Caenorhabditis elegans: one gene and its partners. The gene in region 1 interacts genetically with each later gene. Each region holds a gene or a part of one and is shown in the gene's direction. Other genes may lie near its edges. The genes, in order: let-60, sos-1 and let-23.

Region 1 (10,640 bases):
TGTTGTCACAAAGAGAGCCAAGTTGTCAAGTGCATACGGCCCCCGACTGCGAGAACGACGACGACGACTAGGCCGAATGAAACTAAATTGAAAAGAGTTTGTCTCCGGGAGTTTCTTTCTTTCGACTCACTGTGCTCCATCGTCTTCTCTTTCCGCGCTCGTAGATATTTTTTGAGTCTCTAATTTTGGATCCTATTGAAGTGGGTGTTTTCGTTGCATATTTCAACATATTTTAATTGAAAGTGTGGCTTATTTCTTGTTGACAGCCCTATTTTAAAACTAAATATCACTAAAATTATAATGTTTGGTGAAAATTGTTCCAAAAAGTCACAAGTTCGTGTTTTCATGGCACATTTCAAGCAACTTTTAATATATTTTTTTTCCAGACTACCGAGGAAAAACTTTTATTTAAAAATACACTGTTGAGAATGGTATATTTCCATCATAATTTTTACCTACCAAACGTATTGAAACTGTGGAAAAGTCTGTGGAAAAAATGCCGAATTTCCAAATTAAATGTGACTTTTTGTGAAAATTCAAGACGTTATCGAAGCCATGTTTGAAAAAAGTTTGCATATCTAATATTATTTTTGAGAAAACTTGAAGTTTATAAAACTGTTAGATTAGTTGAAAACTAACCGTTTCGAAAATTCAATAATGAAATATCTGTTTTCAGGTTTTCATTTCCTCTAGTTGCTCATTTCAATATATTTTAATATCAAATTCTACTGGAAAGTATGTGTCATTTCTTGTTGACACCACTATTTTCAAACTAAATAAATACCACGATAATTATATATTTTGCAAAAATTGTTCAAAAAGTATCAAGTTTTCTCGTTCTTGGCATATTTCATGCAATTTGTAATTCTTTTTGTCTCAGTTATGTCATAACTTTTTCTAAAAATCCTAAGTTATTCTAGATTATTTGGGAGCAAACATTTTTAGAAATTCCCAAAGTAGATTAACAAAGAAAATTCAAATATAAATCTACTGGACATTCAAAGAAAAGCACTTAGACAATTTGAATCGAATTCCTCAAATTCTTGAACTATTTTTTAGAGGATTTCAATTGGACAGAAAGAATCTCAAGCACTTAACGTCGGCGGAAATAGTTTTTTTTTTTCAAAAAGAGACCACCGCCTTTGCTAGAAACGAAAATTGCATGCGTTCCATTAAATAATTCAATTCATCGTTATCACCATCCTTCGTCGTCGTCGTTATCGTCAGAAACAGATAGGGATGGGTCGATACAAAAAGAAAGTGGACAGTTCTTTTCTCTCACTCTTTTTCTCTTTTACAAATCACACTTGTTTCGTCTCACACACGCTCACTTCTTGTCTCTTCTCCCAACAGTCGTCGCAAAACCGTCAAAAGCGTAGCGGCTGTCGCGTCGCGGTCGTTCGTGTCTATGCATCACCGTTTCTAGTGCTCTCTAATTGTCCCGCCGTAGCAGTAGCAGCAGTAGCAGCGGCATGGTGGGGACCGCACTCCTTTATCTTTTACTCTTACTTTGTGTGTGTGTATGGGGGGTGCGAGAGAAAGAGATAAAAAAGAAAGAAAGAGAGAGTGTGTGGTTTCTGTGCTTCTGTGCACTCCAGAGCCTCGGATTTCTTTTCCTATGAACTTCATTTCTCGTCTCCATCATCAGAAGGAAGAAGAATTCTTCAGAATCTTGCACTTGAAGCGTTTTCTGCCTATTTATTTTCTCCTCCCGAGTTCATCTCTCTATTCGTCTTTAGCTTAATCCATTTTATTAGGCACGCACCCGCTCCTTGGTTCAACCAAATGAGAAGATAGAAAAGATGGAGCAACGCATCCCAAATTGTGTGATAGGATTAAAGTAGTGTGGAAGAAAAAAAAATGCAGAGTGAGAGAAGGGGCAGTCTTCTTTTCCGGTCTTACTAATCCTAACGTCTTCTTTTTCCTTCCTATCTCTCATCTCTCAACTTCTGAAATAGTTGAGATGAGTGATTTCGTAAGTTCATTATTCTTTTTTGTCAGTTTTTGCTTATAGTTCCTACGGGAATCATTGTTTCTTAAACATGCTACTTCTTTAAACAATTTATATTTAACAAAGTAAAATTGAACGTTTTTTTAAAAACTTTCTAACTGAATTTCGTAAATTTATTTGTTTCCTTGTGAAAAATGCTTGTCAGGAAAACTTTACTTCTCTACGTCTCAATCTCTGCAATCTTTTAACGAGAGATCGGAGAATTTTGTATTGGAAAAGTGAAAAAGAAAAATGAAAGAGACCCACTCGACACTGAGGGCGACCGAAAAGAAACCGACGAAAAAAAACGACGATTCGAGCCATTTGTCAGCGACAATAAGTGGTCGGGTCGCACCACTGTCCGCCGTCTCACCGATTTTAACATTATATTGTCCCCCTTTTTCTTCATCGCTTTGAAATCAATTTTTGATGAAGTGAAGACCTTTTTTCTCCTGGTTTTTTTTTTAATAATTGCATTACCCCATTTTTTAAAGTTCAAAATTACTCAAACTATTTGAATTCTTCTTTTTTTCAAATTGTAATGACTCATTCTCCGTCGTCTTCAAATAGTTACTCATTCCGACTCACCACCTAGTTTATTAACAGGAAAGTTCATTCTTTTTCTATCTTCTCAATTATTCTCAAGTAGTCATCATCGGTTTTTTATTTCTTTCCTGGTAGTTACTCTCCTTTATCGAAACTTTTTTTTGAAAAAAAAAAGAAACGGAATTCTGAGTATGCCGATAGGCAGAGCTGCTCTTTGGCAGTGCTCCCACAGAAATCCTTCTCCACTTCGTTTTCTCATTTCCATCTCTATTTTACATTTTTCCATATTCAACTATGCGTCTTTTTTCAGAAAAGGGTAATGACGGAGTACAAGCTTGTGGTAGTTGGAGATGGAGGAGTTGGTAAATCAGCACTCACCATTCAACTCATCCAGAATCACTTTGTCGAAGAATACGACCCGACCATAGAGGACAGCTACAGAAAGCAGGTGAGAAATCATTGGGAACATCCGCTACACACATGTGGTGGGAGCAAATTGAACGAAAATGATGGCATTTGAAATTGAACAAAAAAACGATGAGTCAGAAGTTTGGAAGTTTTTTGAAACACATCGAGCTGTTTAATTGATTCCAAAGACGAATAAATCGTGCTGAAACACGAAAAATTCCGAAATTTTCGAAAAAAAACCAATTTTTCGTGTTTTGGACACGACATTATAAAATGGCTGGAACTGAAAAAAATGGCTCGAATCATGATTTTTCATTGTCCCCCGAAAATTCTCACAAAAAAAAATTGGAAAACCGAAAATTTTAGTTTTTGCAAAAACCGGAAAAATTCTGAAAACACTCCAAAATCGATATTTCTCAGACGAATTTCAATAATTACATTCCGTTTTACGTTTTATACAAAAAACAGAAATTTCACTTTTTTTTTGAGAAAGGGCCCAAAACTTTTTTTTAGATTTTTTGTTTTTTTAAAGCAAATCGATAAACCAGCATGCCTGCTCGTGTCGTGTGAGGAGTATAAATTTTTTTAAACGTATATTCATCTTTAAACTCTGAAATTCAGAATATTATTGAGCCCTAATTTTCAGTGTTTTCATTTGAGTTTTTAACCAGTAAAAATAGTTTTTCAGTTTTAAAAATTGCTCCGAGAGCTAGTTTTTAAATATTCTAATTTCAGGTTGTGATAGACGGTGAGACATGCCTCCTCGACATATTGGATACCGCCGGACAAGAAGAATATTCGGCGATGCGTGATCAGTACATGAGGACAGGCGAAGGATTTCTGTTGGTTTTCGCCGTCAACGAGGCTAAATCTTTCGAGAATGTCGCTAACTACCGCGAGCAGATTCGGAGGGTAAAGGATTCAGATGATGTGAGTTTTTTTTGTTGAAATTATCAGTCAATGGTTGAATATTTGTATTTCTTCTAGGTTCCTATGGTCTTGGTAGGGAATAAATGTGATTTGTCATCTCGATCAGTCGACTTCCGAACAGTCAGTGAGACAGCAAAGGGTTACGGTATTCCGAATGTCGACACATCTGCCAAAACGCGTATGGGAGTTGATGAAGCATTTTACACACTTGTTAGAGAAATTCGCAAGGTAATTTTTTAGTTAAAAATTTAAATTAAAAATAATGTTTTTAATGTACAATTAAGGTACAAATTCAGTCATTATTATATGAAAATTGAAAGACGCGAGATTTTGATATTTTCGCGCCAAAAATACGACACCCGGTCTGTTCGATTTGCTCCTTCAAATATTATGGTAACTTTATACTGTCGTTACAGCGGAATTTTCATCAATTTTTTTAAGTTTTCGATATTATAAAAATATTTAAAAACACAGCAGTTTTAATAAATCGGTGAAAATTACCCCAGAAACGAAATATTAAAGTTACTGTATTCTTTAAAGGCGCACATACGTTTGCATTTAACACAAATTCATCGTGTCGAGACCGGGCACCGCATCTTTAATTTGAAAATCGCCAAATGTTGCATTTGAGTAATACAAAAACGTTGTTTTTAAAAATTTTCTGTTTTGTAAAGCTCTAAAATGTTATTATTGTTATCAACAGTTTCAAGTTTCCATTTTTCACTAAAAACGAAAAATGTAAGTTTTTCCGATATTTCGAAACAAAAGCTCAAAGTTTTGGTCATTTTCTTAATTTTTAAAGAAAATTATATGTTTTCTTTTGTTTTTTTTCTCACCAGCATGCACAAAATCTGATAAAAAATTGAGTTTTATTGTTAATTTTCTAAAAAAAATTTTGATGACACCCTAGATTGATATCCGAAAGATTTAATAATGTTTTCTTTTTATTTCAGCATCGTGAGCGTCACGACAATAATAAGCCACAAAAGAAGAAGAAGTGTCAAATAATGTGATTCAGCGTCGGGAATTGCCCAATTTCGCCAACTCATTTTCAGTCGTGTCAACTCCCACCCAATTATCCTTTCTCGTACTTTTTTGGTACATTTTCATTATTCATTTATCTGTTTTATCTGAAACTTGTGATCGATCCTCTTCCGCCTCTACATACTCTTCGAATTTCCACCTTTTTTTCTCTATGCATCGATTGAACTTGTTCTCTCGTCTGCTCGTCATTATTTTTTCTCCTTTTTTTTCTTCATCCTTCATTCTAATTCCTCATCTTTCGCTTAGCCCAAATCTCCATTCATTCATAGGTGTCAAAACTAGCTGTAGTGTGTGATCCATATCTAAAACATGCATCCGAACCCCCTCCTCGTTCCAAAATTGGCCAACTCTACCAAAAAAAACATCGCACCATTTTTTTTTCACTTTCTCTGCATATTTTCAGAATGTTTGTATTGCTTTTTTGATGCTTTATTCCCCTTCCTCGTTTTCATACAAATTATTGGCCTCATCTATTTTCAGAAGTTCTCTGAAAATTAAATTCTTTTGCATCTGCCGGTCGTTCCGTTTATTTTTTCTCTGTTTCCTCTCATTTTTGTCAAGTAATTATTTCTCTTTCATTAACTATAATATAGATACAATTAGACCCCATTTCTCATACATTTTCTGAACATCTGAAAGTTTTTGCTCCCTCGTATTGCATTCATTTTTCTCTATTCCTCTACATTTTATAGTCCTATCTGAATATAATATTCCTATTCTTTTGATCAAGTTTTTATTATTATTTTATTTTCAAGGAAGTATTGCAATGATATAAATTTTAAAAAGCTAATATTATTTTTTTAAATCTATTCAACTATATTTTGTTAATTTCAGTGTTATATTTTGACCTCGCCATCGGAGCATGATTTTAAAAAAAACTAAATTTAATTTATTAGAATGACGAGAAAAAGGAAAAATGTAGAGTCTGATGAGAATCCTCCAGCGAAAAACTCATTTGAAGGATACGGATATGCTGCTGCTGATGCTGAGAAGAAGCCACAGGAGGAGAGAAACAATTTCAGAACTTTTCTAGCCAAAAATGAACGATTTGGAAGTGGAAATCGAGGTGGAGGAGGTCGTGGAAGAGGAGGAGATGGTGGATTTAGAAGAAATGATAGAGGTGGACGTGGTGGTGGTGGAAGAGGATTCGGTGGTAACAGAGAATTCAGTGCCGGAGATTTTGAGAAGGTTTGTGTCAGATGGTGTCGTGAGTGATGTAGCGTCTCTGGCTTTTTAAACTCAAAATTACAGAAAAAGTTTCGATATGTCGAGTTAAAAACATTTCTAAAATTTGTATTATTTTGCAAAAAATAAAAAAAAGCCGAATTATTTTTGAATTTTTTAGTCATTTTCCTGGACAAAAATTGTTCAAAATGTGGAATTATAGGTTTTAGACCAATTTCATTTTATCGAATTTCGTTCGGATTTTCGAGGTTTCTTTCCGAAAAACTGTCTGAAAAAATGAGCGCGGGAATTCACAAATATTTCAGTATTTTTTTGAAATTGAATTTTAAAAAATTTATATTCGATATATTGAGACTTTTTTCTGTGAAGAATCGATAAAATGAACTCCAAAGCGCTCCCTAGGCAATTACCACAAAAACGTATATATTTATTTAATTTACAGCAATACGGTCGAGTTGGCGGCGGTGATGACACGAATTCAGGACAACCGGATAGCTACGGACAAGCTGATTCGGCTTCATTCAACGACTCTCGACCAGATGGAGATGGTCGTGAATTTCCGAAAGAAATTGTTGGTTATCTGAGAAGTATTGAACAAATCAAGAAGAAAGAGGGAAAAATTGAAGATTTTATTCTGGAAAAGTGTGCTGAAGAAGTTGTTGGCCAGGAGAAAACTCTTCTCTCGTGGACAGAAGCAGCCGTTGTTGTTGAATCTGTATTTGGAAGTTGTCCTAAAGGAGCAGCTCTCTTCCTTTCATCGATTTCTCGTCTCAAGCATAAAACATTAGCTGAGCTGATTTTCGGAGGAGCTAGTGCTAGGACAATTGAAAATTTGATATTCTCGATGTGCCCAATCGCCGAATCAGAACATGTGGAGATTCTTCAAAAACTAGCAGGAATTCTTATGGATAACTGGGCGGATGCTGTTACAACACAACCTTCGAGTTTTCTGATTCGAGCTATTGTCTGGGTGTGTTGTGGATTGTCAGCAAGGCCAAAGGTTGGAGAGGAAAAGAAAAGAAATTACAAAGGACAAGAAATGAAGGCTAGCTTGAAGAATGTTTATGAAAAACTTGCAATCTTGGCATTCGATGAGAATCTTAATAAAACCTTTATGGATTCTCCGATTTTTGTGACACTATTTCAAGATTTTATTGAAGCCGATGGGCTTTGGGGAGACAAAAGAGGTGATGAATATGTGAAGAAGAAGCTCGAAAAGGAAGATATTGAAGGAATCTCGAAGGCATGGTATTCATCAAATGGATCTCGTGTTTGGGATAAGCTGATGGAAACTTGCTCAGAAGATGCTCGAAGTCTTTTATGGATTGAATTTTGCAGTAAAAATGTTGACGAATTGACAGATAATCGATTCTCAAACTTTCCTCTTCAAAAAATGATCAATAGCTCAACATCGTTGGAAATGGTCACTGAAATAATTGAAACAATGGCTCCAAAGTGTTCTTCTCTGCTTGAACATCAGAATTCTGGTGTGTTCCTTTCGGTTATCCGATGTGCTGCACGATATCCATCATCCGAGAAAACCATGCTTCAACAACTGAGAAAATATTTCCGCGCAGCTTCAGAGGCAAAGAAAGGACAATTTTTACTCAACGTGCTTACTTTGAATGGATGTGATGGAAGCATTTTCGATACTCAGAAGTTCACACAAAAGGTTAGCTATAGCGTATACGACTTCTACATAATCATTTGAAAAATAGATTTGGAAGTGGACTATTTCTATAAATAACAAAAAAAAGTGTTGATATAACGAGAATAACTGTAAAAAATGTTTGGAATTTTACTTAATTTTTAACTTTTCTTAATTAAAAAACGTTCATGTGGTTGATTTTTTTTTTGAATTCCTTAGATTTGGCATTTTCCGTTTTCAGTCGGTAATAGTTTCAACTATGATAAAACCTCAGCTAGTTGGGGTTTATTCTTTTTTTTTTCTTCGATTATTTATGTGAAACAGATTTTTTCAATTTTCAGAAATTTTTCCGCAAAAAAAGCTGGCTTGAAGTGTTTTTTCTTCTTCTATGTTTCACAACAATAATCAAAGAAAATACTAAAAAAAAATACTAAAAAATATCAAAAATAATTCAGCCATTTAAATTGTTTTCACAAATTAGAAAAAAATTTTAATTCAGAATTTTTTTTTAGTTTACAGTTTTATTCAAAATTTCCCCCAATATTCAATCAAAATTTTCTATATTATAAAATTTAAATAAATAAATTCCAGGGTACAATGCTCGTCTCAGAACTTGTCAACTTCTCAAAAACGAAAACATTGGCAACTGGCTTTGAGCAACTCAGTGAGCAACAAATTCAAGAAATGTCATGTAACAAGTACACTTCTCGTTTGATTCAAGCTGTTTTGGCTAGTAAGACTATGCCAGAAGAGATCAAAGAGAAGATTATTGGTGCTTTTGATGTAATTTGACAATGTTTATTTAAATTTTCAATTGTAAAATTTTCAGAAAAATTCTTGGGAGACGCTTATCACTGATACTTTCGGAAGTCGAGTTTTCGAGAAAATTTGGGAATTTGTAGACGTAAAGCGCAAGCAGGAAATCATGAAAGTTCTTGTTGGAATTCATGTGAGCATTTTTCTGTAACAAAAATATATAATTCACTTTCTTCGTTTTCAGAATTCATCCAAGTTCTGGAAATTTGCAATGCTTCGCTGCGATCTTTACCTGTTCAGAAAAAGCCGGAAAGATTGGGTTGAAAAGATGAAAAAGTCTAAGAATTAATTATTTTTGTTGTTGTTACTGTTGATGTTGTTTGTTCTGTTTTGAATTTTTGGTCTTAATGTTTGATACGATTTTATTGAATTGAGTAAAAAATTGGAATTTATGTGGCTTATAACTCAAGGAAACAAATTTGTTTTGTTGGTTTACCGGATCATCTGATAATCTTGGCAAACAAAAAGGGAATTCCAAAGCCATTTCGCCGTTAAAAACTTGTAAGAACTCTAAGTTTGAGAACAAACTGGTAAAGGGAGTTGAATTCTTACTATTCGGAATTTTCATAATGATCAGAAATTCTGTAGCTGAAATTTGTCGCCGGATAATTAATTCTACAAAATGATTTTATGCACCATGTTGTTCCATGTATTAAAAATTAGTCTAAAAATATAGAAACGCATTCGAAAATAACATTTATTTGAAGTGAAACATTTGAAAATGTGTTTAAAAATTACCCGATAGCAAGTGGTCTCAGACTGTCCCATAACCGCATGATCTACGAAAAATGCGGAAATTTCTCGCCCAGAAAAGTGTGAAGTCAGCACGCTCTTAACCGTTCGACACTAGTTGAAAACTCTGCGTTTCAATTCCCGCATTTATTGTAGATCATAGCGTTATGGAACAGTCTGACACCACGTGCGATAGCTACAAATTGCCGATTACACGTGGTGTCAGGTTGTCCCATCACGGGTTGACCTACAAAAAAAACGGGGTTTTTTCCCTTAAAAATGTGACGTCAGCACGATCTTAACCATGCAAAATTGGCTAAAATTAATGTTATTTTCTATATTTTTACACTAATTTTTAGCTTAAAATTTTTGGAACAACATGGTAGGATATTTTGTAGAATTGTAGAAATCCCACTCCTGTGTCAGATGGGATTTTTTTTGCCTGAGAAAAAGGAACAGATTTGACAATATGGCACAAAGCTTCTCTAGAATCTTTAGTAGCGAGGGTTGAGATTCCACAAGATCCCAGAAGCTTTTCATTTTTCAGAAATGCATTGGAGCCATTTGTATAGAAATCCCGAACTCCTAAAAAGTTAGCACATGATCCATATCACATCAAGTGGCATCAGTAGCAGCTGGGTGATCATTTGCATGTGAAATCTCGAAAGGTGTTGCGCAATGCTTCAACTCTTTTTCTGTGCCGAGTGATATGTGTGTGCGGACGGTAATATTTGTCAACGGCGCGAAGAAGAACGGGGGAAGGTGAAATACCGGTCGGATCACGGAAGGAGAGAGAAATGAAGTAAGGGAGAGAATAGCATACACATCCACCCTCTTAACTTTGACTTTTGCCGCACTCTTACCTCTCGGTGAAGGTGCATGCTTCTTCTACACTTCATTACTTACAGTTTCTACGGAAACCTGAATAGAGATATTTTAACTGATTGCTCGAAAATTTATATTTTTCCATAGACCATTATGTGTGAAACTCTTCAATTCGAGTCTGAAATATAGTTAAAGTTTAGCTTGATCTTTTTCACCCTTGGTCACAGTTCCTCGGCTCGGACGTAGCTTAAGTTAAAGGCCAGTAGGAGCACCACCCTTACTTCCAGTTCTGGAGTGCATATGGCTTGAGGAACGCATTATTATCCTTATTTTTAGATTTTAGATTTATTTGAAGGTGTTAAAAGGTGTGTTTTCAACTGAAAAATATTTATTATTTCTTTTTTCTACAGTTTGGTTGTGAAATACTTTTTGCTCATTTCTAAATAAAATGTGCTATTAATGTAAGGTAAATTTTCAATACATGGTGCATCGTTAACTACCACTTCTAAGGTTTGA
Region 2 (10,081 bases), on another chromosome or scaffold:
AAGCTTATTCCTAATTTTTTTCAGTTTTATTTCAGCATCTTCTTTCAAAAGTTTTGCATCGCTCACGTCCCTTGTCAGCTTTTCATTGTCTTGCAAGGCACGTTTCAGGTCGGATGATAAGGATACACCCAGCGGCGTCGTCATCCTAAGCGGCGTAGACATGGCTTCCTGTTAAAAATGTCACTGCCCAGAAAATTTTTGAATCTCACCAGCTTGTTCGATACATCCTTCCGATTCCTCCTGGAAGCGATCCCAACAAACCGAGCAATTGCAAGTTAAGAATCATGATCGACAACGCTTCCTCGTCCGCTGCGAATTCGTCATCTGTCTGAAAATAACAAATTTACACTTGAGAAAAACTTTTCTAATATCAATCGCATTAAAAAATTTATTTCATTGTTTATTCAAAATAAAAGCGAGCGCAGTTTCGCTCGCTATACTGGACTGCACTCTTTGAATTTAAATTAGACTTTTTTTTCAACTTTACCCTTTTTTCAGAGATCTCATCAGCAGTAAACTTCCTTTCCTTCTCCAAAATTTACGATCCATTTTTCGTGATTTCTCGAAACTTTCATCAGCGACCACGACTTTTCAGTTTATTTCACTCCAATCCATTTCATCGATCCGGCAAGACCCTTTTCGTTGCACCTCCACCCGATTTTTTAAAAATATTTTTCTGAAAATTAAGTTGACGGCGAGATAAAAAAAATTATTATTTATTTTTCAACAAAAAATTAACTTTAAAAATGGCAAAAAGCTATATTTTAAATGAATGGAAGAAAATAAAAGAGGCCCCACGAAAAGGGGGGCAGAACGAAAAGGGGATCTGCAAAAAGGGGATCTGCGAAAAGGGGAGATACGAAAAGGGGAGCAACGAAAAGGGGAGCTGGCACTGTGCCAAACGCACAAAACGCTTTTTTATTCTCATTCAACGCACGACTTTGTTATAACCACACTCCGTTATTACGCATCGCGCGTTGTTTAGCGTAAAATACAAAAATAATGCGTGCGTTGAATGAGAATAAAAAAGCGTTTTGTGCGTTTGGCACAGTGCCAGCTCCCCTTTACGTATCTCCCCTTTTCGCAAATCCCCTTTTTGCAGATCCCTTTTTCGTTCTGCTCCCCTTTTCGTGGGGCCTCAATAAAATCACAATCTCTCGTAAATCCTGCCCGCTTGTCTGCATTTGCGCGTCAATTTGTGCGCCGCGTGTTTGCGGCCAATACACCGAAAAACACCGATGAGACAGCTTGACTACACGTGTAGTATTAGTAAACGAGCGAAAGTGAAAGCATTAGTGAATGAGCGTCAAAGAGATTGAGCCATCGTTAGGAATTGAGCGTTCAAATAAATGAGCATGCTAGTAAATGAGGGTTTGCCCTATTATTTGCGCCATGAAACTTGAAAAATGAATTTTCCAACTTACCGTAACCATTTAACAAAGGCGCTTACTTGTTTAACATCGTTGGGTCTCGAAACGATTGAGTGGGTATACGGTATTTATTTTTAATTAATTAAAATTTTAGATTTATTTTTACTTTTTTAAAGGATTTTTTATGGAATTTTTTTGTTCCAAACGTTTTTTTTTCAAATTTTATTTTTTCCAATATTTATTTCCATTATTTTTTAATAGAAAAAACCGATAAATTCCATAATATTTTTAAATATCAGGTTTTTTAAAAACATTTTTGTGGCAAATAGGCCAAATTCCTGTACGAAGGTCAAGCATAAAATTTGAATAATCCACACTTACCGCGCCGAAATCCATCTATCAATAGGGCGTGCTTGCAACAACAGTGTTTTCCTCAAATTTTACATTTTTATTTTTCAAACTTTTTCAAAAAACCAACAACAAATAACTTTTCTTGACAGATGGCTGCTCCCACTCACCGCATTATGTCACCCTCCTGACCCTCCCCTGCCACTCCTTTTTCGGCATATTTGCTCGTACAGTTCTTTGTCATAATTGAACACATTTGTTTGTTTGTGCCGACCAGGTTGTGTGTGTGTGTGTGTGTGTGTGTGTGTGTGTGTGTGTGTGTGTGAATTTTACCGCTTTTCCCACGAGAAATCATGATTTTTAAATTAAAATTCCGAAAAAAGAGCAAAATTTTGTTATAGTATGAAATTCGCCAAATTTTTTTCTCTCTGGAGTTCACTTTTCATTAAATTATGACTCTTTATTGCATATTTAAGCCAAAAATAAACGAATTTCGAAATGAAACTTCTCATAAAATTGTCATAAATTTTTTATGGCGGTTCGAAATTAAAAAAAAAGGTAAATTTTAGCTAAAATCTCCAATTTTGGTCACTTTACCATGTTGCAGCGGTCCGAAGTTGACTTTTTTTCCGAATTTTCAATTTTTTGAGATGTTTTTTTTCTGGATAAATCGCATTATGAAATTTGGACGTTTTCAGTCTGATTCAGCAAAAAAACCCCCCCCCCCCCATAACGGTGCTGTCGAATTTTTTTTATTGATTTATAGACTCGGACTTGTCTGAAAACACCGAATTTCATACTGAAACTTCTTGAAAATTCTCAAAAAAAAAGTTATGGCGGCTCAAAAAATGACCTAAAAATTGTTAAAATTTGAAATTTGACCGACTTGGCAATGTCACAGCGGCTGGAAACAATTTTTTTTTGAAATTTTCGTCTAATTTTGGTTACAGATGTGAATTATCTTGCGTTTTCAGCTTTAAAGTACCTAAATCGAGTTGAAAACACGCAAGATAATTAACTATTCTATAGATATAGTGATTTCAACAAAAAGTTGTTTCCAGCTGCTGCGACATTGAGAAGTCGGTCAAATTTCAAATTTTAACTAAACCTAGGCCATTTTTTGAGCCACCATAACTTTTTTAAAACAAGTTTTCAAGATGTTTCATTATAAAATTCGGTGTTTTCAGACTATTTTGAGTTTAGTCAAGAAATAATAATCGAAATAAAAAATCGACTACACCACTTTTAGCATGAGATAAACGATAAAAGTATGCAATAAAGGGTGATAATTTAATAAAAACTGTAAGTAAAATTCCAGAGGCTGCCATAAGCAAGAGTTGCCGAAATTTCGGCTTTTTTTTCGATTTTTTTTTAAGAAAAAAGTCTCATTATGATATCCAGTCAGTTTTGGTCTATTCAAGCAAAATAACCAAAATCTCTACTACTTTTCAAATTTCTTCAATTCGATCGAATTTGACCTCAAAAAAATCGAAACGAGAATCAAAAAAGAGTCGACCTTGAAGTAGTGTATTTGTGTTGATTAGGTGGGGCTACTGATTGCACTGCAAATCAATAAATATATAAAGTCTTCTCAACAGATCAAACTGGTTCGAATAGAACAAGGCCGTGGTGAGAGATGGTGGCCGGCCGTTGTCGGGTGTCCATTTCTCTAGAATCTCTCACAGATTCCTGCAGTATTTCGTCAGCAGCCGCCGGCGGGTAACCCCCCGCTTCCCGTTCTCATCCCGTATCATTCTGTCCGCTTGTCTGTCACCTCTACGCTTCCATCACACTCCATCTTTTCTTCTATTTCTTCTTTTCAGTGTGTGTGTTGTTCCATGCATTATTTTTGCGGGTTGTAATCATCATCATCATCGCCATCATACACTTTTCTCCTTCTTCTCCATCTTGCTTTTCTCGCTCTCGTCAATATAGTTTTTGTCTTAAATAAACTTTGCAAAAGTGAAAATTTAAAAAAATATATAAATTCGTTCCTTGCATGCAGATTTTTTTTTCTGAAATTGCCGGAATTTATGTTACCAGCCAGGGATGTCCGGCAATTGTGGTTTGGCAAATTTTCTTGTCCACAAATTCGGCAAATTGCCGATTTGCCAATTTGCCGGAAATTTCGATTTTCGGCAATTTGCCGATTTGCCGTTCGCCGGATATCAATTTGCCAGAAAAATGAGGGTTTTTTATATATTTTTTTATATTTTTCATAACACTTAAAACTGTGCCTTTTTGAAATTTTTTTCCGGTTTTCTTTAGATATTTTCATAGAATTTGCTAACTTTTCAAAATAGATGTAGGAACATTCATAGGATGCGTACAATTTTGCTGATTGAAATTGAACTTCTGGAATTCCCAAAAAAAAAGTGCAAGGCCACAATTTGCCGGTTTGCCGATTTGCCGGAAATTGTCAATTCCGGCAATGTTGATTTGCCGGAAAGTTAGCAAAAATCGTTTGCCGATTTTTTCCAGCAAAGCGGCAAATGGCCGGAATTGAAATTTCCGGCAAATTGGCAATAAACCGGAAAAGTGGCAATTGTCGAAAATTTTCGGCGAAACGTGGTTTTGCACTTCTTTTTTTGTTGGAAATTTCAGAATTTCAATCTAAATCGGCGAAATTGTACGCATCCTATGAATTTTCCTACGTCTGTTTTGAACTGTAAGAAAAAATTTAAAAAAGGGGCAGTTTTAAATGTTCCCATCTTATAAAAATCCCTCTAAACATTTCCGGCAAATTCCAATTTTTTCGAGGAATTGGATTATGTTCCATATATCAACGAAAAAAAAAACAATTTTATTAAACAAAATAAATTGAAAAAATTCGGAAATTTTTCATTTGACGGTATATGCTAAAATATTTTTTTCTGTTCACTTTAAGGTACTTCTGGTGATTAGAAAATTTAAAAAAAAATCGATTGTCAGCGTAAGAATTTATTAATTCATGAATTTTAACTCGTAACTTATTGTTGGCCCACTAATATATTTTTTCCTAAATAATTCAAAATTTCATTGCAGATGGTCATATAAATGAGCATAATGAGCATATCACTGCACTCGGCATCATCGGATACGGTCTCGTTGACCAGCCGACGAACAATATCAACTAGTAAGCATTGGGCGGCTATTTTTGATGAAAGAATTTATCAGGTTTGTATATATTTGAATATTTCCTGAATTCAATAATATTTTTCAATTTCAGATATGCAATATCGTACATCCTGGCCTCCCGATTGACAATGCTGCAGTTGAGCACATTCGATATTTTTTGCAAAGTATCGTTTTTGAGGTATATATATATATGTATATATCGGTTTTTTTTCAAATCTAACAAATAAATTAATATTAATAAATTCCCCCTGTGCATTTCTTGACCTTGTAATCCTTTCCCCTCTTCAGCTCATCGAAGCACGTGCCACAAGTGTCGTCGAAGTGGACAAAACTGCGAAAAAGCTGTTCGCATTCGGTCTGCAGACTGTTTGTAAAGTAAGGGATTTTCAAAAAATGTTTCCAAAAAATTTGTATATTCATAAATCATCAAAAAAGATCGTGATTTGATTTTCAAAACTATTCATTTTTTGTCTTTTATCCTGAATATTCAAGTTTATGGAATTCTTTCCGCTTTAAAATATTTTATTTAAAATGTACTACGAGAACACAAAAATCTGAGAATGCGTATTGCACAACATATTTGACGCGCAAAATAACTCGTAGCGAAAAAGAAAACTACAGTAATCCTTCAAATCACTACTGTAGCGCTTGTGTCGATTTACGAGATCTCGATTTTCGTATTAAAAGCGATGGAGCTTATTTCGAAAATTGGGCCCCGTAAATCGACACAAGCGCTACAGTAATCATTTAAAGGGTTACTGTAGTTTTCGCTACGACACATTTTGCGCGTCAAATATGTGCAATACGCATTCTCAGATTTTTGTGTTCTCGTAGTACATTTTAAATAAAATATTTTAAAGCGGAAAGAATTCCATAAACTTGAATATTCAGGATAAAAGACAAAAAATGAATAGTTTTGAAAATCAAATCACGATCTTTTTTGGTGATTTATGAATATACAAATTTTTCTTTTTTTTGCCTAAAAAATCTGGGTTTGGACAAAAAAAATATTAAAAAAGTAGTGAAATTGGTGAAAAAACCAACAAAAAAAAACGTTTTCCACCTAACATAAATACAAGAAAAATGAAATATACTCTTTGGGAAAAAAATATTTTTAAAAATTCTAAAATTCTGAAAAACCACAAATTAAAATGAACAAACCACGAAATATTGAAAAATTCAACTTTCGAAAATTTTCGTGATTTTAAAATTTGGATTTTTCAGAATTTGAGACTATTTTTGAATTTTTCGGAGCAATATTCCCCCTAAAATGTGTATTTTTTCTGATTTCTCGAATTTTCTTAAATATTATTTCAAAATTTGCAGGAAGCCTGGGACAACATGCACCAACAACTCCAAAAGCACAAATATCAAAAAGCCCTGAAAACAGTTCTAGAAAGCCAACATCGCCTGGCAGCAGTCATCAAAGAAACACTTGGACCACGAGAAAAAGAGAAAAAAGATCGAGAAAAGAAGGAAATCGAACGTATCGCATGCTATATTTATTATGCATGTGAAAGTGTTACTGAAGATGTGCTCAGGCTGACTGGAAATTATGTGAAAAATATTCGAAATAGTGAGCAAAAGATTACGATGGCTAATCTTGATGTGGCGATGAACGGGGATAAGGTACTGCTTTTTTTTGGAGAAAAATATAAAAAAAACCTATTCAGCAGAAAATTTGCTTCGAAAAAATAAAAATAAAAATAGTCTTGAATTCAGAAAAAACCAAAAAAATCGCAATTTTAGCTAAACACAATTTTGTTTTCGAAATCGAAAAACGAGAAAAAAATTTTTTTTTTGAAAACAAAACATTTTTCGCCGAAAAATACGAAGAAATAATAAATTTTTCGCCAAAAAACACAAAAAAGCGAAAAGAATAAACATTTTTCAGTTTATAACGTTATTTTAAAAAAAAACTTGCTTATTTTGACCAAAATTGCATTAAAAAAAATTCGAGTGTGATTTTTTGGAATTTATGTAAAATTTAATATTTTTCTATATTTTTCAATTTATCAGAATTTTCCGCTTTTTATCAATCTTTTTTTCGAAAAAAAAGCAACAAAAAAAAACACATTTTTCGCCAAAAACACGGCAAAATCTACAACCCTGACTGCTGCGACCAATCAGCGATTCGCTCCGCCCATTCTTCAACCAATCAGATGGAGTGGGCGGAGTTTGGTGGCGCTGATTGGTTGTGCAGTTTTCGTTGCGGTGGGAATTCAAAGTTAGCCAAAATTTTCACGATTTTCTTGTGTATTTTTTTCCGAATTTGAGACTATTTTGGTTATTTTGAAGCGAAAATTCAAAAAAAAAAAATCCCAGAAATTTCTGAAATTGACCTAAATTGACCTGAAAATCGATAATTAGACTTGTTTGCAAAGAAAAAAAAAAGGAAAATCTAATTAATATAGCCGTCGGCAATATTATTGCCGAAAAACGATATATTAATTGGGTTTTCTTTGTTTTTTTTCTGTTTTATAATTGGAAATATTATTTTTTCAGACTTTTTTCTGGAAAAAGGGTATAATTTTAAGATTAAATTATCGGTTTTTGGCCAATTTTGGCTAAATTTGTTTCAAATTCTCTTTTTTCATAAATTTCATCTCAAAATTATATTGCATATGTCCACTTCGTGCCAGGCTGTCCCATTACGGTTTGATCTACGAAAAATGCGGGAATTTTTTCCCAGAAAAAATGTGACGTTAGCACGCTCTTAACCATGCGAAATCAGTTGAGAACTCTGCGTCTCTTCTCCCGCATTTTTCGTAGATCAAACCGTAATGGGACAGCCTGACTCCACGTGTATCTGCACGTGGTCTCAAAGTGTCCCATTTTGGTTTGATCTCCGAAAAAGGCGGGACGTCACATTATTCCGAGGAAAAAATTCCCGCATTTTTTGTAGATCAAACCGTAATGGGACAGCCTGACTTGACTACGTGTATGTTACGGTGAAATATGAAATTTTTTTTTCAACTTATTTCAACTTTTGCCGAAAAATTTCCGTTATTCAATGTTTGCCAAACTGGAAATTAGAAAGCTCTCAAAAAATTTATTGAAAAAATTAAAAAAAAAAATTCAGGCCCTAATGGAGCTCCGAACAAAACTTCGAAACGAGGAGGAAGCCGAATCTCCCGGCGGTTTTGGTTTTCTATCGGAATTTGAGGAATTTGTTGCCGAAGAGACTGAAGAAAAGACCCTATCGAATAGTCAGACATATGAATCAGTAGCTGTTGATTTTTTGAGAGATGAGAGACGATTTATTCGTGAATTGAATAGGATTAATGTATTTCGACGGAGAATCGAATCGGTTGCGGCGACGGATGTTGATAAGGTTTTTAATGATTTTTCGAAAACAAAAAAAAACGAATTTTGGTCTTAAATCAGCCTGAATTTAACGAATATTGCTTTAAAAAATGTTTTTTTTTTATTTTTGCAACAAAAAAAATGGCGAAAAGTTAAAAACTTTGGCAAAATTTTGAAAAAAACTTGAAAAATTTTTTCTTCCAATTTTGCGAAAAAAAATGGCTGATCACAAAGCGAATACTAAAAAAAAAACGAAAAATTCTCCCAAAAACGGAAAAAAAGTCACGAAATTTTGTGATTTTTCCAATTTTGCAATAAAAAATGCTGATTTTTTTTTCTGAAAATTAAAAAAAATATGTCGATGAATTTAACAAAATTTCAGTTAATATAGCTGGAAAATTCAAAAATGTATTGAAAAGATAATTTATTTGCGCGGGAATTCAAAAATAATATGGTCGTTTTTCTGAAATTGAAAAAAATCGCAAAAAATTAAAAAAAAACATTTTCCGAAAATGGAAACGGAAAAAATTTGCCAAAAGGCCAAAAAAAGCGAAAAACGAAAAAAATTGAAACATTTTTTTGTAAATTTGAATTTTAAATATTTTGAACACGAAAATGTATATATTTAAAGTTTTTTCGAAAACAAGTGTAAAATTTCAAAATTCGAGTTTTTAGTCAGTTTCCAAGCGAAAAATATATTTTCCGAAAAACATTACATAAAAAAATAATCCCCACAAAAAATGTTGGTTTTTCGATTTTTTCTGAAAAATAGCTCAAAATTTCGGCTATTTTTCGTTTTTTTTTCAAATAAAATTATATATTTTCTTATTTTCTCGTAGTGAAAAAGAAAACTACAGTAATCCTGACTAAATGACTACTGTAGCTCTTGTGTCGATTTAAGGGCTCCATTTTTGAAATTAATTAAAATATAATATTTTTAAAAACCCCCTATCCGAAAATAAATGAATTTTAAAAAATCGAGCTCCATAAATCGACACAAGAGCTACAGTAGTCATTCAAAGGATTACTGTAGTTTTCTTTTTCGCTACGAGATATTTTGCGCGTCAAATATGTTGTGCAAGACGCATTCTCAGAATTTTGTGTTTCCGAAGTATCACTGCAACTTTTTCCTCACGAGGGACGAGGAAAAGTGGTTTCTAGGCCATGGCCGAGGGGCCGACAAGTTTCAGCGGCCATTTATCTTGCTTTGTTTTCCGCCTGTTTTCTTTCGTTTTTCACAGCTTTTTCCCGTTTTTTCTTAATAAAACTAATAAATAAATATTTTTTGCAGATGCTAAAACAATTTCCAAGTAAAAAAATCATGTATTCAGTGGGCAAGCAGCGGTGAAAGTGGGCAATGCAATATGATGGATTACGGGAATACAAAACCTAAACTTTTTCTGAAACATGATACATATGCTGCTTAAATGCTGAGACTACCTGATTTTCATAACGAGACCGCTGAAAAAGTTTTGAGATTTTCAAAATTCAACATTTTGTGCCAAAATCTCGACTTTTTCACCAAAAAAGTTGAATTTTGAAAATCTCAAAACTTTTTCAGCGGTCTCGTTATGAAAATCAGGTAGTTTCAGCATTTTTAAGCATATATACCATGTTTCAGAAAAAGTTTAGTTTTGGTATTCCCGTAATCCATCATATAACATAAACCACTTTCACCGCTACTTGCCGGCTGAATTCACAATTTTTTCATCTGGAAATTATTTTAGCATTAGCAAAAAATATTTATTTATCAGTTTTATTAAGAAAACACGGGAAAAATCGGTGAAAAACACAAGCAAACAGAGCAAGTAGAAAATGTCGTTAAATGCGGTGTATTGTGTGCAAACACCGATTTTTCGCATTTTTTCTCGGCCCTTGTTCGAAAAAAGTTGCAGTGAGTATGAAAAAAATTTGATAAAATCCTGAAAATTTCCGATTTT
Region 3 (10,297 bases), on another chromosome or scaffold:
AACATCCGCTACCGAACGATTCGAGGATTGATATAGGTTATTAATAAAGTTCCGGTAGATCGTATGATATGACTGGTAACGATCCAGTTCCGCCTGATGCTCGATCTTTGTGAAAAGATATGCGCCTGCGATGATGTAAGCAACCGTGGCAAAGATCAGAACAAGATGGAAGAGGGCAAGGCGTAGATTTGCAAGGAAGCCTGGAAACTATTTTAAATTATTGAAACTTTTTTGTTGGGGAAAATAAACATTCTAATAATGTTCTAATTTTTTGCTATAAAAACTTTCTAAAAAAATTTTCAATCTCTTTTTACAGGCCCCAAAAAAGAATAACACGTAAAGTCTACGTGGGAGGGAGAGAGAATGTTTGGATCCAAGTTAAATTGTTATTATTGAATTTTCGTAGTTTTTCCTTCTTATTTTAGGTCCACCATCTAACTTAGTTTTCGAGTTTTTTTAAAGTTCTGTGGACCTTTAGAAAAAGAGAATAATCTTTCTTTGTGATGAGGATGGAATGGTGTTGCCATAAACACTCTAGACCTGGTTCCACGCTGAAAAACCATTATTTTCTGAAATTTCAAAAGTTCATTCATTTACCATAGTAGGCTAGCAGCTCTAAAAGCTTTTAAATCTCCAACAGGAAATCAAGAAAAAATGAAAGTAATGGGAAACAATAGAAACAGAACAATATTTGGATATATATTGGAACAAATAGGTATTTGTGTGGTAAAGCATGTGAGAAACAACACAAACAACAATAAACAAACCTTGTTTGGGAGCGTCTTCGTCGCCACTGTTGTTTTCAAGAATCATGGCGTTACGGCGTCGCGCCGATGCCGTTCCAAAATGGATCTGCAAGGGATGAAAGCAATCAGACTAAGAGCAACAATTTTTGGTGGGAAGAAGAATGAAGGGACTCGGAAGGATCTTTCGAAATGGGAAATGGGTGGTCGCGTTGAATATTAGTTACCTAATCTAGTTTATGCTTGTTTTAAATTTCATTTGCAATTATGATAATGCTAGTCGTTTTCTGGGAATCGCTATGATTAATAACAATTTCCATAAGATGCCTTGCTACGTTAAAATTTGATCTAGTTGTTCAAATTTGGATCACAAGTGTTATGGGGTACCCTAAATTCATACAATTATAAAAATTTTCTGTAATTTTTTCTACATTCAAGCTTAGGATTACTGGATTTTTGTCAACTGATTTTTCAAACAGAAAGATCACAATGAAAAATCTGAATATCTTGGCAATATTTATTAAATTGAATGAATTGTCTTGAACTTTGAAATTAAAAATAGAAGCATTTGCGAACATTTTTAACCTTTATTGTCGAAAAGAAAAACATTCGGGTACTTCAAAGGACCTGAAGTTTAGAGTTCATAGAATTTTGCGGACCAGCGGCACCCGAAATTCCATCGCGTCAATTTGGTGACGAAAAATAGAAAAGAGGGTTAGTAAAAGTTGGAGGAGGCAACGAAATCTTCTTTAATCGTCGGCACCGGAAAACGTGTGAAAAGAAGTTTTAGGTAGAGACGTTGGAAAATGAAAATCTTTTGAAAATCCCCATTCATAATTGCAAAAAGGCTTGTTTGGTTTGCAAAAATAGACTCTGCCTTGCTCCATTGTTTGAGAAAATCGTTGGAACAATGTATTAAAGGTAATTACTGAGACTAGTGGAAATATAAATATTCCAATTTTGATAATTTACAGTAAAAATGAAAGCTGAAATGAGAAAAAATGTTCATCAAAAATTGAAAAGTTATATTCGTCTTTTGTCAATCTATTACTAATTTTTTTTCAGTTTGCTATAAGTCTGGGTTCGAAATTGCCGGATCATATTTGGACAAAAATAGGGCGATAGCTTTTTATTTTGATAGAACAGGTTTTATCAGTAAAGTTAAGTCCTTACCAACTTCTCCATAAAAAAATTTTTTGAGCAAAATTCGGACATGATGCAACGCTATTTAAAAAAAAGTACAAGACCTCAAACTTTGAATGTTTTTCGAACTTTTTCGGCAAATAATAGGAGAGTTTTAATGTTTTTTTTTTCAAATTTCTAGTACAATTTAAGAAGAAAAAAAATATTCACCTGATTCATGTTCCCAGCATCTGAACTTGGTGTCCTTCGGAGCAATTGCAAATGAGCCCAATCGCTATGGTTTCTAGAAATCAGTGCGGTTGTCGTCGGAGTGATACAGAAAGCGGACAAATGTCCGGCTAGAAATTTTCCCCGGGGATGCATAGTTGGTGAGAGTGACAAAAACTAGAGAATATAGAGATTGCTGGTGTGACAAAGTGACACTCTCAATTTGTTTTTCTATTTTAAAAAAGAATGGCTTCTGCTGAGGAGATGAAGAATTGGTAGAAATGTGTCAAATTCCGAGGAAATTCGATGAAATCTTGAGAAACTGCTTCCGAGTTTCAATACATTTTAACGCGTCGATGAACTCGTGGGATTGCCGGAAATTAGGTTCCTTTTCGGTTATTTGTAGAAATGGTTGCACTTTTGTGGCAAGAGTAAGGGAAAAATAAACAATTTCGGTGCATTTTTTTCATCTTTTCCTTTGACCAGAAATCTTGTAATAATGGGTAGCAGTAGAATGGGGGAATTCAAGAAATGTAAACATTTAAATGAAACATCAAATGTATGGATGAAATTTTAATTGTGACCACAGAATATACAAATTATAAAGTTGAATAGATCAAAAAAGTTGTTATTAAATTTTATGCATCTGCACTTGGGATTCACAAAACTTACATAGAAGTATCTGCTAACCTAACTCGGAAAAAGGATTTTTTTCAGAAAATTTTGGAACCATGGATTTTGGCAATTTGGAAAGATTGAACCCTTTCTCTTCGGGTTACCTCTGAAACTTTGAAAAATTTAATAACTTGTTCACACATCTTAAATATGTACGAATCCACATAACTCTGAAATTTCAGACTCCAATTTCCTTTCCTGCCGTGCCATTTGCCAACAAGTTCATATTGTACACGAGAGTTCACACTGAGTAATGATGCCAAGAAGAAAAGTCTCAATGAAAAAATCTATTAGTTGTGCCAATATTTGCGTAACTCATTCCCTTGTATTGCGCATAAATCAATGCTCCTACAACAGTCTCCCCTTTTTTGTATGAGGGGTTGTCTCTAACAAGTGAATTGACTTGACGCCCACCGACTTTTCTTAGTCAGGTACTTTACACCTTTTTTCATGAAGTTCGCGAAAGTGATTTCAATCGTTTTTGGTTTTTCTTGTGCACTTTGAACATTTCAACTAGATTTCATTTTGGGTCTCAAGCTAGTCTTTGTTTTACCAGATTACTATAAATATGTAACTATAAGGAGTCTTTTGAAAAGTTTCAAATTCTATCCGAAATTGTTACATAATGTACCTAAATTCACATTTTACGGTCCCCGAAGTAGTGAAACTGCACTGAAATATTTTCAGGTCGAAGTATTTTACAGGCTTCAAAATGGTCCACTGGTCCAGTCATCAATACCTTTTCCGGTCAGGTTACTGTAATCCAAAAATGCAACCTCGAACAAATGATATATGTTTATAGTCTCTAATACTTCCTTGACCTCTAAATACCTTTTCTTCTCCTCCTTGCCCTCAGTTTTTTCTCATAAATCTTCATAAACCCACTTGACACCTGGAATCTCTTCCCCTCCCTCATCATTTTCCAATCCTCCCTCACCTATACTTTCAATAACAAATTTTCTGCTCTTTTCTTTACGAAGAAATAGACAAAGTGACTCTGAGCCAAGCCACACAATCAAAATCCAATCATTTTCCACATGTTGATCTCCTCTTCGTTCATATTTCTTAGGCGCATCTAGGTGTTCAACCATATGGTAATTAGGACCGCCCGTGTTCTTCCCCACTAGCTGCCAACCGATGGCGGTATGACTTCAAAGGGAATGAAAATGAATCAAGAACCCTCATTCTTCAGTGTTGTTGCAAGATTGATTTATTAGTTTTGAGAGGTTTTTTTTGTTTCAATTAATAGATCTCCGAATTTTGCCTAAAATTTGAATGTATCCACTTTTTACTTTAAGATATTTATGTTAAAGTTTTCAATGAACATTTTTAATGCAAAAATTGTGGAGACATTATCTATTGTTTTTAAAAACATCAATGAAGATCCCGATGTAATTTTTTAGATTTAAAACGGTTTTCTAAAAGCAAAACGCCAAGCAAGCATTTGATAACCATTTGCACATAGAAATACGCCGCCCAGCCTTTTCCCATCAACCTATTCATATTCAAGTTCTATTTGTCGGGAGGTCCATTGAGTATTGTCCACGTTTATAAATCTATTATGATTCACAATCTAAAAGAGCTCAGAAATAAGAAAGAATGAGAATTAGAGAAGCAGAGAAGATGCTCAACAACCATCGTCTTCTTCTCTTCCTTATCAACCACCCACACAGTCCTGCTCACTTGCTCCTATCACTTTTTTCCTTGTACCGAAAGAAAAATATGAACAATTTGAAATACTGCTGACAAATTTTTGTGTACGACGTCAAATGCGTTTTGGCATGTGATTGAGGTTTTGATTTTTTTTGGTGTAAAATTCATTTGAAAAATAAATTCTTCGGACGAACCGGAAATTTTAAGCTTTTAGTTTCATATATCTTACTTACTTTTCAGCATATAAACTACAAAAACCTACAATAATTTTTCAACTGAAAATCGATCTGAACTCTTCTAAATTCTAAATTAAAAAATTTCCCGGATTTCCGCCATTTTCTTTTCGATATTTCTTAAAAGCATCTCCTCAAGTTTCCCATGCCGATCGTATGTTGTTCTTTCCTCTGATTCATAGATTTCAATTATAAAAGTGAGAGAACTTGAGAGCTCGAGACGTCACGCACAAAAGAAACCATTTTTCTAACTTCTCGGAGCAAGAGGTACACTATTTTTTAACGGCTCTTTTTTTTACAATAAAATTAGGACTGCGCAATCAATAAAAATTATTGAGTTCGTTCAGCGTTAAAAAAAATCAAAAAATTTTTGCAGAAATTTTGGCTTCAAATTTCAATTTCCACTTAAAATCCTTGTTAAGCCAGTAAGATGCTATACATTCAAACTAGGATATTAAACGCATACTACCCCAAACACACGAACTGTCGGAAGCTGTACCCGAAATTGTGTCCTCCAATTTATCTTCACACAATTTGACAGCAACTCGTCCATATTGAGAACTCGTCTCTGGGCCCCCCGATGGGGAATAGGTCGTAGACCACAAAAAGAACGTGGCGCCACAACACCAATAAAACATTTTTGTACGTTATTCTATGTATGGTTGAACTGTGTCGTTGTTGAAGAGTTTTAATCCCATCTCGCTCGCATCACCTTTTTTTGTTTCAAAAATCGCCTCCTTTACTGCCTATACCTCTCCCAATTCTCTTGACAATATCGACCAAAAACTGCATTACTGATGTCCAATTTTCATTTCAGATGAAGTTCCCTTTTTTATTCTTATTTTTAATAATCTTAATTGATACAACAATTGATGCGGCATCACCAACGTCAACACAAGGTTCAGTAACTGTACGGAGGAGGCAACGGAAGATTGTGGTGAGAGAATGTGAGTTGGCTTTTGGAATTATTACGTTTTCCATTATTTTGTTCAATTTGATCAAAATTTGAAAATCGTGAAAAATTGGATCTGAAACCGATTAGAGCGAGGTTATGAATCCTATTTTATTGGCTTGTCATTTTTTTGATAGATAAATGACTCCGCCTATATCTTGGTTTTTCTCAAAAAGATTTCTGTGAATACGAAAATTATTCCACATGAAATTGACCACCATAGTAAAAAACAAGCTTTTGGATTTTTATTAAAAGTTAAAATAATATAATGTTTAAAAATGCATTCCGAACAGGAAAGTATGTCTCAGAATTTGCAAACATTTTTTTAAAGGGAACCTAACAGATCCTAGTGGTGAGTAACCCCGTTATATCCAAATATAATTTCCTTTTCCCATTGTTTTTGTGGTATTTGTGATGTCCTCGTGATTTATCCAAAAACCCAATTAATTACTCTTTCCCCCACACATTCATACATAGAAATTTGCAACTCATTCCATTTCGAAGCACTTGAGAAGATGAAAAATGCTAGAATTGAGGCAAAAATGAAATGAAAATGAGCACACATTCAGTCTACTACTCTCTGTCCCGTTTTTGGGTATCACATGTATAAGAGGTAGAAAAGTGGTCATAGAAGAGTGAAAAAAAGGAAGAATTTGTCCAAGTTTTCTCACTATCTACAATTTTCTGGGAGGCATGCGATACCCTCCCTCTATCGGTTCAATTTTATTGATTATTCCTATTTTTCTAACATTTTTTGGAAATTCTAATGCACAGTTGTGGAAAAGATGTGTTTCACCTCAAGACTGCCGTAAGTGGATAAAATGGGAAATTGTCAACAATGGCAACTGATTTTTTTTAAATCATAGAATATACATATGCGATTTGATGTGTTCTTTCTAAAAAGTTTCAAGACATATACTTTAAAAAAATGTTCATTAAAGTAATACAATACTTTTTGTAGAAATTTAAATTTTTATTAATTTTGACATGAATCATGATATTTCGATTACAGAAAGTTATCAAAAGTTCATTACAAGTACAGTAACCGGTAGACACGTGAGAACTTTATCATTTAAAATGTCATTCAGAGGACAAGTAATCGGATCATCAAGAAAATTGAAAGGCTCCATTTTTTTCTTTTTTTTTGAGATAAGAAAAATTTTTAAAATAATTCTAGTTAATTTTTAGAGAAACTAGATTTTTTGAAACCAAAATATGCATCCCCTCTGTGAATTTTTCCTCTTTGAATCAAACAAAAACTTACACGAATTTCATTCTTGATTTTCAGTTTGTTCTGGCACAACCAATGGAATATCGAGATATGGAACCGGAAATATTTTGGAAGATCTGGAAACTGTAAGTTGTTGAATAGGGATTTATCTTTGATTTCTGCTGTTAAACCATACGATTAGAATTTTATTTTAAAAAAATTTAAAAAGTTCCGGATCGACGAAGTAACCATCCAAAACAAATAGTCAAATAGCCCCAGGCAAAACTAAATTTTTTGCCAAAACAAGGAAAAATGTCTTGATTTAGATGTACCGAGGGTGTCGTCGTGTTTATGGAAATCTTGAAATAACATGGATAGAAGCAAATGAAATAAAGAAATGGAGAGAATCGACGAATAGCACTGTGGACCCAAAAAATGAAGATTCACCATTGAAATCAATTAACTTTTTTGATAATTTAGAGGAGGTGAGTATGAAAACATCTACAACAATAGATGTATTTTCTACCAAAAACGTTTTTGCTTAAATCTTCCTTTACCTTTATTTTTCAGATTCGAGGAAGCTTAATAATTTATCGTGCGAATATTCAAAAAATATCATTTCCAAGACTACGAGTAATCTACGGAGACGAGGTTTTTCACGATAATGCATTGTACATTCATAAAAATGATAAAGTTCACGAAGTTGTGATGAGAGAGTTGAGAGGTTTGTTTGCTCAGCTTTTAGAGACATAGTATTTTATTTTTATTTTTCAGTGATTAGGAATGGAAGTGTCACAATTCAAGACAATCCAAAAATGTGTTACATTGGGGATAAAATCGATTGGAAGGAGTTACTGTACGACCCAGATGTACAGAAAGTTGAAACTACAAACTCACATCAACATTGCTATCAAAATGGAAAATCAATGGCAAAATGCCATGAAAGTTGTAATGATAAATGTTGGGGATCCGGAGACAATGATTGTCAACGAGGTTAGCAAAAAAATTAGACTAGACATAAGTTTTTGTTCATTGTGGCTGAATTTTTCAAACTTCTGAAAAAATTTAATTTTTGACACAGAACGATCAAAAGTTTCAAAATTATTTTAAAGAAATTATGTAAATAAAATTCACCAATATGCAGTATATTTTCAGTCTACCGTTCCGTATGTCCAAAATCTTGTTCTCAGTGTTTCTACTCGAACTCTACAAGTTCATACGAATGTTGTGACTCGGCTTGTCTTGGAGGATGTACAGGTCACGGACCAAAAAATTGCATTGCCTGCAGTAAATATGAATTGGATGGAATCTGTATCGAAACGTGCCCATCGCGAAAAATTTTCAATCACAAAACAGGACGATTAGTTTTTAACCCAGACGGAAGATACCAAAATGGAAATCATTGTGTGAAAGAATGCCCTCGTAAGTTATTTGGATAGAGATAAATGATGAATAAGCAGAATCCACAACTCACGAAATACTTTTTCAGCTGAACTTCTAATCGAAAACGATGTATGTGTTCGTCACTGCTCAGATGGTCACCATTATGATGCTACAAAAGATGTTAGAGAGTGTGAAAAATGCAGAAGTTCCAGCTGTCCAAAAAGTACGTTTTCTTTTTGAAATAAATCAATTTCAAGCTGCACTAATTCCTACAAAATCCCTAAAAGCTCAATAAATACAAAATTTTTAGTTTGCACGGTCGATGGACATCTGACAAACGAGACACTTAAAAACTTGGAAGGCTGCGAACAAATTGATGGTCATTTGATAATAGAGCATGCGTAAGTATTTCTTTCTTGGTTTTTGAGATCATCGTATAATCTTTGAGAATTTCGTTATTCAAAAACCAAAAAAAAACTGAAAAAATGAGATGATGAAGTGTGTGTCTAGAAGTACTTCAAAGCTTTATAGAATGGGCACTCACTTTTTCATCCAAAATGGCAGAGAAATGGGACACATTTTGGAATGAGGGGAAGGATTAGAACTGAAAGCAATTGCAACAACTCAACCGTATATAAATATTATTGTTTTATGATTCTCGCCGGTGACCCAACTCTTTTTGTTGTTGTTGCATTTCCGGTGCTATTCGGCAAGACTTAAAAGTGCATCTTTAGAGAGCTTCACTTCATTATGTTTATATTCAAAATTGAAAGATCGCTAATGATAACCTAACTTTTCAATTTTTCAGATTCACATACGAACAACTAAAAGTCTTGGAGACAGTGAAAATTGTTAGCGAGTACATCACGATTGTTCAGCAAAACTTCTATGACTTAAAGTTTCTCAAAAATCTACAAATCATTGAAGGCCGAAAACTTCACAATGTAAGATGGGCTCTCGCAATTTATCAATGCGATGACTTGGAAGAACTGAGCTTAAACTCATTGAAACTTATAAAAACTGGAGCTGTATTAATAATGAAAAATCATCGATTGTGTTATGTGTCGAAAATTGATTGGTCATCAATTATCACTTCAAAGGGAAAAGATAACAAACCCTCATTGGCAATTGCTGAAAATAGGGATAGCAAACTGTGTGGTAGGTTCATTTTTGAATGTTATCAAATAAAAAATATGTCATTTTCCTCAATTTTTAGAAACTGAACAGAGAGTTTGTGATAAAAACTGCAATAAACGTGGTTGTTGGGGCAAGGAACCAGAGGACTGTCTCGAGTGTAAGACCTGGAAAAGTGTTGGGACGTGTGTTGAGAAATGTGACACGAAAGGGTGAGCAAAATGTGTAGTCTGAAAAAGTAAATACCGCTTTGATTTAGATTTCTGCGCAACCAGACATCAATGAAATGCGAAAGATGTTCTCCGGAATGTGAAACCTGCAACGGTCTAGGTGAACTGGATTGTCTCACTTGCAGACATAAAACTCTCTACAATTCGGATTTCGGTAATCGTATGGAATGTGTCCACGATTGTCCAGTTTCACACTTTCCGACGCAGAAAAATGTATGCGAAAAGTGTCATCCGACGTGTTATGATAATGGGTAAGCTTCGGGTTTTTTTTCGATTTTTTAAATGCGTCTTTTCGAAAATATATACGCAAAGTAGCTATTTACGAATGATTTTAGCTACCGTCTAAGGTTAAACATTAATATATAAACATCATTACTTATATTTTATATAAAAAAATACAGTTCGTCTGTCCATAGTTTGTAGTCTATGTAGTCTTTGTAGTCTGTGACGTCACGCCCAAATTTCAGTGAGAATAGTGGGCGTGGCACCCTTCGTGGTGAGACCCATCGTGGTGAGACCCTTCGTGGTGAGACCCTTCGTGGTGAGACCCATCGTGGTGAGACCCTTCGTGGTGAGACCCTTCGTGGTGAGACCAATCGTGGTGAGACCTTTCGTGGTGAGACCCTTCGTGGTGAGACCAATCGTGGTGAGACCCTTCGTGGTGAGACCCATCGTGGTGATACCCTTCGTGGTGAGACCCTTCGTGGTGAGACCCATCGTGGTGAGACCCTTCG

The links.
Region 2: of let-60 (region 1) and sos-1, changing one enhances a phenotype caused by changing the other (phenotypic enhancement), as found in Caenorhabditis elegans (2 studies listed by BioGRID, with this or other methods).
Region 3: of let-60 (region 1) and let-23, changing one enhances a phenotype caused by changing the other (phenotypic enhancement), as found in Caenorhabditis elegans (2 studies listed by BioGRID, with this or other methods).

What each region holds. Positions count from the first base shown.
Region 1 is NC_003282.8:11,683,293-11,693,932, reverse strand, and holds let-60 (Ras protein let-60), read left to right. Parts: upstream 1-2,844; 5' UTR 2,845-2,855; coding exon 2,856-2,984; intron 2,985-3,679; coding exon 3,680-3,874; intron 3,875-3,931; coding exon 3,932-4,102; intron 4,103-4,827; coding exon 4,828-4,887; 3' UTR 4,888-5,706; downstream 5,707-10,640. Other genes in the region: ZK792.12 (CidA/LrgA family protein), read right to left, coding at 6-82, 131-140; ZK792.5 (Nucleolar protein 9), read left to right, coding at 5,816-6,106, 6,546-7,775, 8,343-8,534, 8,581-8,700, 8,752-8,856. UniProt on the Caenorhabditis elegans protein: GTP-binding protein with GTPase activity. The level of let-60 controls the switch between vulval and hypodermal cell fates during C.elegans vulval induction. May stimulate the guanine nucleotide exchange factor (GEF) activity of rap-1.
Region 2 is NC_003283.11:4,543,953-4,554,033, reverse strand, and holds the start of sos-1 (Son of sevenless homolog), read left to right. Parts: upstream 1-4,742; 5' UTR 4,743-4,754; coding exon 4,755-4,874; intron 4,875-4,926; coding exon 4,927-5,013; intron 5,014-5,123; coding exon 5,124-5,210; intron 5,211-6,161; coding exon 6,162-6,464; intron 6,465-7,917; coding exon 7,918-8,169; intron 8,170-10,081. Other genes in the region: Y61A9LA.12 (uncharacterized protein), read right to left, coding at 1-162. UniProt on the Caenorhabditis elegans protein: Promotes the exchange of Ras-bound GDP by GTP. May regulate signaling pathways downstream of receptor tyrosine kinase, egl-15 and let-23.
Region 3 is NC_003280.10:9,192,047-9,202,343, forward strand, and holds the start of let-23 (receptor protein-tyrosine kinase), read left to right. Parts: upstream 1-5,465; 5' UTR 5,466-5,471; coding exon 5,472-5,601; intron 5,602-5,937; coding exon 5,938-5,958; intron 5,959-6,210; exon of another isoform or gene 6,211-6,299; coding exon of another isoform or gene 6,300-6,414; intron 6,415-6,894; coding exon 6,895-6,962; intron 6,963-7,142; coding exon 7,143-7,301; intron 7,302-7,386; coding exon 7,387-7,540; intron 7,541-7,590; coding exon 7,591-7,809; intron 7,810-7,971; coding exon 7,972-8,238; intron 8,239-8,305; coding exon 8,306-8,422; intron 8,423-8,509; coding exon 8,510-8,600; intron 8,601-9,007; coding exon 9,008-9,357; intron 9,358-9,415; coding exon 9,416-9,545; intron 9,546-9,592; coding exon 9,593-9,814; intron 9,815-10,297. Other genes in the region: twk-4 (Potassium channel domain-containing protein), read right to left, coding at 1-200, 768-852, 2,097-2,249. UniProt on the Caenorhabditis elegans protein: Tyrosine-protein kinase receptor which, upon binding ligand lin-3, activates 2 signaling cascades: the let-60/Ras and MAP kinase signaling pathway and the let-60-independent phospholipase C-mediated Ca(2+) signaling pathway.